Linked DNA regions of Macaca fascicularis. The protein of the gene in region 1 interacts with the protein of each later gene in a biochemical or structural test. Links are inferred from orthologs where the notes say so. Each region holds a gene or a part of one and is shown on either strand. Other genes may lie near its edges.

Region 1 (3,653 bases):
TCACCCCAGACACTGGTCGTATCCTGTCCAAGCTGCACACTGTCCAACCCAAGGGCAAGATCACCTTCTGCACTGGTATCCGCGTGGCCCATGTGAGTCCTACTGGGTTCTCTGGACTGTTTCTCCCTGCTCTGAGGTCCTGCCTCCATCATACTTATTTCTCCCCTGGATTCCTGAGCTAGGACCAGAGCAAGAGAAAGTTAACTTGGCATAGAAAGGATATGGGGGATGAGTCAAGGGTAGTTGAGGGTTGTAAGGGGAAAAATCCCTAGAATTGAGAATTAAGGTTGGGTGTGGTAGCTCACGCCTGTAATCCCAGCAGTTTGGGAGGCCAAAGGAGGAGGATTGCTGAAGGCCAGCAGTTTAAGACCTGGCACATAGCGAGACCATGTTTCTCTTTTTTTTTTTTTTTTTTTTTTTAAAAAAAAAAAAAAAAGGCTGGGTGCGGTGGCTCACACCTGTAATCCCAGCACTTTGGGAGGGTCACCTGAGGTCAGGAGTTCGAGACCAGTCTGCCCAACGTGGTAAAACTCCATCTTTACTAAAAATATAAAAATTGGCCAGTACTCGGGAGGCTGAGGCAGGATAATCGCTGGAACCCAGGAGGTGGAGGTTGCAGTGAGCCGAGATCGTGCCACTGCACTCCAGCCTGGGTGACAGAGCGAGACTCCATCTCAAAAAAAAAAAAAAAAAAAAAAGGAGAATTAACCTCCCTTCTTTATGCACAGAGAGTCACAGCAAAAAGGGAGGAATTGGGGGTGTTAAATCTTGTGTGAGCGTGATGGTAGATGGTATACTTGAGGTACAAAGAAACTGTAAGAAAACGGAACCGAGTGACAGAGGAAAGAGCTGAGTGATTTCTCTGGTTGACTCTGAGAACTTCCTCTCCCTTTACAAGCTGGCTCTGAAGCACCGACAGGGCAAGAATCACAAGATGCGCATCATTGCCTTTGTGGGAAGCCCGGTGGAGGACAATGAGAAGGATGTGAGTCCAAGTGGCAGCTGGGGAATGTGGGCAGCCAGTGTTTGGGACTGAGGTCTTTCATCCCTCAGGAGAACCTGGCAGAGGCATCAGGCTCATGACTTTGGGGAAAGGTGAATGTGGAGAATTCAGTTTTTCTGTTGTAGGACCTTGGGGAGGTCAATAGAGTTCTGTATGCTTTTATGCGGCAGGTCCTTTCCCCCCTCGAGTATGGAACAAATTTCTTGATTTTTCTCCCCTTCTTCCCAGCTGGTGAAACTGGCTAAACGCCTCAAGAAGGAGAAAGTAAATGTTGACATTATCAATTTTGGGGAAGAGGTGAGTAGGGACTGATTGGAGGGCATTGGCTTAATTTGGTTATAAACAGAATGGTCCTTAACCCTGAGGAGTGTGGGCACTGTAGCAGAGTAGTATGGACGTGGCAAAGAACAGGGAGCAAGGCCTGAAGGAGGGCGTCCTGTGTTCTTTCCTCACCAGGAGGTGAACACAGAAAAGCTGACAGCCTTTGTAAACACGTTGAATGGCAAAGATGGAACCGGTTCTCATCTGGTGACAGTGCCTCCTGGGCCCAGCTTGGCTGATGCTCTCATCAGTTCTCCGATTTTGGCTGGCGAAGGTGGTGCCATGCTGGGTCTTGGTGCCAGTGACTTTGAATTTGGAGTAGATCCCAGTGCTGATCCTGAGCTGGCCTTGGTGAGCAAATGTTGACCCCAGGTAGAGCCCAAAGGCCCTTTTTTGTTCTTTTCTGGCACACACATCACAGAGCTTCTACTAGGCTGAACAGTCCTAGACACTCCCAGTAACTCATATTCCAAGACCTCCTTTTGCCCCCTCTTCCCTATACTTCTGTCTGATCTCTAGGAGCACTAATGTCAGACGCTTTCTTTTTCACTCCCCCTGATGAAAACCAAGGCTTCTCCCAAGTCCTTTTTAATCCTATACCACTGCTTATCCCTCCAGCTTCTCTGTGTGATAAACCAGAAGCTGCCCCTTTATGTTCCTTTCCTACACCCCAACTAACTTTCCCAGCTCCCTGTAGGAGTGAGGGCAGGGGAGCCCTGATTGTGCCCTGCTCTTCATCAGGCCCTTCGTGTATCAATGGAAGAGCAGCGGCAGCGGCAGGAGGAGGAGGCCCGGCGGGCAGCTGCAGCTTCTGCTGCTGAGGCCGGGATTGCTACGACTGGGACTGAAGGTGAAAGAGGTGGAATCTGAAGTCCTGGGACTGTGGGATGCTAAACATTGAAAGCTGGGTATAGGCACTGCAGGGAGAGTGTGGAGGTCTGACAGAGTAGGAATATGTGGGAGGGCCAGGCTAGGGGAATGGCTTTGGAGGCTGGCCTGTGTGGATATGGCATCAATTCTACCCTGCTCCTCTTTTCCTTTTCCCAGACTCAGATGATGCCCTGCTGAAGATGACCATCAGCCAGCAAGAGTTTGGCCGCACTGGGCTTCCTGACCTAAGCAGTATGACTGAGGAAGAGCAGATTGCTTATGCCATGCAGATGTCCCTGCAGGGAGCAGGTGAGCCAGAGCCTGGGTGGTGCCTAGGCAGAGGGCTGGGATGAAGAAGGGTAACTGAACAGAGTGACCTCTCTTCCTCAGAGTTTGGCCAGGCGGAATCAGCAGACATTGATGCCAGCTCAGCCATGGACACATCTGAGCCAGCCAAGGTGAGACCCAAACCTGCCCCCGCATCAGGTTTAAAGTCCTTGAATTTAGATCCTCATCCCTCTGAGGCTGGGAGCATTTCTACCATAGCTAAGTCCTTTGAGGAGCAGAGGGAAACACATGGATATGCATTTCTTACATGTAAACCTTGCTAAGGTAGCAATGCTAGTGGTCAAAGTTGGATAAGTGTCCTCATGTTCTGTAATTTTCCTTCCTTGCTGGTGGGAGCAGCCTGGGCAGTTCTCTAGGATGTCTACCCAGGAGGGAGAAAAGAGGGTCTGGGAAAAAGAAAAAGGAGAACTGGGTGTCTTGAGAGCAGGAAACCTCAGTGTGATGGAATCTGTTTTTCTCCTCAGAGCTCAATTAACAGAGTTCTCAGGCCGGGCGCGGTGGCTCAAGCCTGTAGTCCCAGCACTTTGGGAGGCCGAGACGGGCGGATCACGAGGTCAGGAGATCGAGACCATCCTGGCTAACACGGTGAAACCCCGTCTCTACTAAAAAAATACAAAAAACTAGCCGGGCGCGGTGGCAGGCGCCTGTAGTCCCAACTGCTCGGGAGGCTGAGGCAGGAGAATGGCGTAAACCCGGGAGGCGGAGCTTGTAGTGAGCTGAGATCCGGCCACTGCACTCCAGCCTGGGCGGTAGAGCGAGACTCCGTCTCAAAAAAAAAAAAAAAAAAAAACAGTTCTCAACAGGTGCCTCCTCTATTTGGTCAGTAATAACTGTTTGCATTCATGCCATAGAAAGGATTTTGCTGATTTGTCCTTTCCTTACCTCGGCCAGAGGTGCCCGAATCCCCACACAGTCAGAAGGCAGGGGAGCTCCGGCAGCGGCATGCTCCTGTCCTTCACACCTGCTTACTCCCTGCTGCTCCACACCCTCCCCTGAGCTCACACTGCCTGTTTGCAGGAGGAGGATGATTACGACGTGATGCAGGACCCCGAGTTCCTTCAGAGTGTCCTAGAGAACCTCCCAGGTGTGGATCCCAACAATGAAGCCATTC
Region 2 (3,526 bases), on another chromosome or scaffold:
CAATCCTTGCACCTTAGCCTCCCGAGTAGCTGGGACTACAGGCGCAGACCACCACACCTGGCTAATTTTTGTATTTTTTGTAGAGATGGGGTTTCGCCATGTTGCCCAGGTTGGTCTCAAACTCCTGAGCTCAAGCTATCCCACCCGCCTTAGCCGCCTCCCAAAGTGCTGGAATTACAGGCGTGAGCCACTGTGCCCGGCCTGCTTTCTGTTTTCAGGCCTTACTAAATACAATAAACAGAGTAGTGTTCTGTCATATACATATCTGTATTCCTGATAAGCCAGCGTAGTATAGTTTCTGGCTCATGGTAGGTACTCAGTAAGTATTCATGGAATAAATAAGAAAGAAGGATTTGGAGTATTAGAATTAATTGTTACATAAGTTAACTTACCTCCGAATTACCAAGTAGGCCTAGGATTGATTGGTCATTTATGTGATTTATGTGGGGTTTTTTTTTTTTTTTTTTTTTTTTAACTTCATTTCTGAAGAAAAGATTTGATGCTGCTGAATTGTCAGAATTAAGAGTATAATTTTGGGCCTGAAACTGAAACTCTTTTCTAAGAATTGACTGTCCAGTGTGCAAGTTAAACTCACATTCATTCAAAGAATCATTGAAACTTTAGAATTTCATACATGAGGATACCGGCTTTTATAAGTTACTCAATTGGTCAGTAGCTATACAAATCATCTAATTCTGAACTATTTGTATATATATATGTGTTCAAATTTTTCTGCACGTACATGATCCTCTAAAATAACGGTTGATGTTTATTAAGCTTCCCCCCCTTCCCCACCAAAGTAGAGTCGTGATCTATTTGACGTGATTAGGTATAAACTAGACTATTTAAAATAAAGTGCTAATGGACTTTTAAATATGTTGGATATGTTTCAAGAGGTGGGCAGTGTTTTTGAAGCTCAGTAGATCAGCATATGTTATAAAAAAGCAATTAAAAAATTTTAAAAGTCAGTCAGGTGTGGCATGGATTGGCTTCCTTTAGAGTTGGATTAATTTTTTTTTTCTTTAATAGCTACAGAATCCAGAAGTCAGATTTCAGCAACAACTGGAACAACTCAGTGCAATGGGATTTTTGAACCGTGAAGCAAACTTGCAAGCTCTAATAGCCACAGGAGGTGATATCAATGCAGCTATTGAAAGGTTACTGGGCTCCCAGCCATCATAGCAGCATTTCTGTATCTTGAAAAAATGTAATTTATTTTTGATAACGGCTCTTAAACTTTAAAATACCCGCTTTATTTCATTTTGACTCTTGGAATTCTGTGCTGTTATAAACAAACCCAATATGATGCATTTTAAGGTGGAGTACAGTAAGATGTGTGGGTTTTTCTGTATTTTTCTTTTCTGGAACAGTGGGAATCAGTGCTTTTCATTTAAGGCTACTGCATGCATCACTTCTGCATTTATTGTAATTTTTTAAAAACATCACCTTTTATAGTTGGGTGACCAGATTTTGTCCTGCATCTGTCCAATTTATTTGCTTTTTAAACATTAGCCTATGGTAGTAATTTATGTAGAATAAAAGCATTAAAAAGAAGCAAATCATTTGCACTCTAATTTGTGGTACAATATTGCTTATTGTGACTTTGGCATGCATTTTTGCAAACAAAATGCTGTAAGATTTATACTACTGATAATTTTGCTTTATTTGTATACATATAGAGTATGCACATTTGGGACTGCATTTCTAGAAACATACTGCAATAGGCTATCTGAGCAAAACACCTGTAACCAAAAAAGTGAAGATAAGAAAATACTCTTAAAGCCGAGTATTTCCTAATTGTATAGAATCTTACAGCATCTTTGACAAACATCTCCCAGCAAAAGTGCCGGTTAGACAGGTTTGTTGAAAATATAGTAGAAAAACTGATTCTGGTTATCTCTTTAAGGACAATTAATTGTACAGACACATAATGTAACATTGTCTCAACATTCATTCACAGATTGACTGTAAATTACCTTAATCTTTGTGCAGACTGAAGGAACACTGTAGTATACCCCAAAGTGCATTTGCCTAGGACTTTTCAGCTTCTCCCATAGGTAGTTTAACAGGCATTAAAATTTGTAATTGAAATGTTGCTTTCACTGAAAAAGTGTCTAAATGTTTCAGTTATTTTTAATCGCCATATAAAAATAGAACTCTCTTTTGGGTTTATCTGTTTTCTCATGCACAGGCAATACACGAATTTAAAATGAGTTGTGAGCCAATTGTTTCTGGAGTGTTTTGGTAGTTCTGTTACGAAATAGTTAAATATTGTGCTTTTCAGAGCCTCAGAAAGGGGGACGGGGTGGGGGGGGCGGGCAGTGGAATCTATCCTGGATGGGGCCAGCTTAAATAATACTGGCAACCAAGATTCTGTTAGGATTTCTGTGCATATAGTATAGTAAAGAAGTATCATTCAGGGGTGAAAAACAAAGAGCCGTTTTAATGATGTTGAGTACATTTGGCTGTTTTATAGCCTTTTTCTTCCCTCCCCAAAGAATTCTGTTTGCCTAACTCCCAAACTGTTGGGGTGGTACATTCCTTTAGGACCAATTAAAACAGAGTTTAGGGTCAGTAATACATTTGGCTGACTCTGGTTCAGTATTCTCTTAGGTGATTATATTCTCTCATGTACAGTTACAGGAAATTAAAATGTTAAAGTAACCTAAAATGAATTCAGACCAATAAAATCAAGGGAAATACAAGTTGATTCCATTACTTCTGTACGTTGCTTGCTATTAAAAAAGGTTAAGAGGCCAGGTTACCCACCAGTCCATGCACTGTTCTGACACTTTCCCCAGGAGGAAAACAAGTACAAAGGTTATGGTGGAGGCATGAGTAGAGATTGTTGAGAAGGGTATTCATGTGTCTTTGCTCTTTCTGCTTGATGCCTCAGTCTGGTTTAAAAACTTCTGTACTGGCGAATGTGGTATTCAGTGTGGGATAGTGTCATAACTAATTTGACAATTTATTAATCACAAAATAACAATAAATCTCTAGCTTTTACATTTGATTTGTCTTGCCTCTTTTGTAGAAAGAAAAACAAATGTCTATAACTTTTGCTAACCATGTGTTTTAAAGGCTATTGAAGTTGATTTACCCCAGATTTTGTCACATTTTACATTCTTTATTTTTCAGGTTTTCCAATTAAAATGTCACATGGTCTTTTGTGGTGTGATAAAAAGATAGCACACTGGGAAGGTAGGTGACTTGAGCTCCACTTTTGATCTTGGTACTTGACTAGTTATGTGACATTGAGGCGTCATGATTTCTTTATTATACGTGTACTGGTGAGGCTTATAGGTGCACTGGACTGGGCGAGAAGCTCTGAAGTACCTTCAAGCAGCTGCAGTGGTATGGTTTTCATTTTTAATATGTTTACCTTTAGGTCTAAGTCTAAAGATAAATATCTACATCTTAAGGGGTTCAAAATACTTAAAATTCTTATCAGCACTAAAAGGATGTTTAAAATACTGTAGGCTTAAACTGTTCTCATATTGAGTGATAATATTTAGTACAAATTGAA

What was found.
Region 2: the proteins of PSMD4 (region 1) and UBQLN1 form a complex in vitro, tested with the Homo sapiens proteins (6 studies listed by BioGRID and IntAct, with this or other methods). The link is inferred for Macaca fascicularis from reciprocal best matches to the Homo sapiens genes PSMD4 and UBQLN1.

Annotation. Positions count from the first base shown.
Region 1 is NC_088375.1:109,952,452-109,956,104, reverse strand, and holds part of PSMD4 (26S proteasome non-ATPase regulatory subunit 4), read left to right. Parts: coding exon 1-92; intron 93-898; coding exon 899-985; intron 986-1,231; coding exon 1,232-1,300; intron 1,301-1,459; coding exon 1,460-1,675; intron 1,676-2,065; coding exon 2,066-2,183; intron 2,184-2,371; coding exon 2,372-2,503; intron 2,504-2,584; coding exon 2,585-2,652; intron 2,653-3,559; coding exon 3,560-3,653. UniProt on the Homo sapiens protein: Component of the 26S proteasome, a multiprotein complex involved in the ATP-dependent degradation of ubiquitinated proteins.
Region 2 is NC_088389.1:114,273,263-114,276,788, reverse strand, and holds the end of UBQLN1 (ubiquilin-1), read left to right. Parts: intron 1-1,029; coding exon 1,030-1,182; 3' UTR 1,183-3,008; downstream 3,009-3,526. UniProt on the Homo sapiens protein: Plays an important role in the regulation of different protein degradation mechanisms and pathways including ubiquitin-proteasome system (UPS), autophagy and endoplasmic reticulum-associated protein degradation (ERAD) pathway.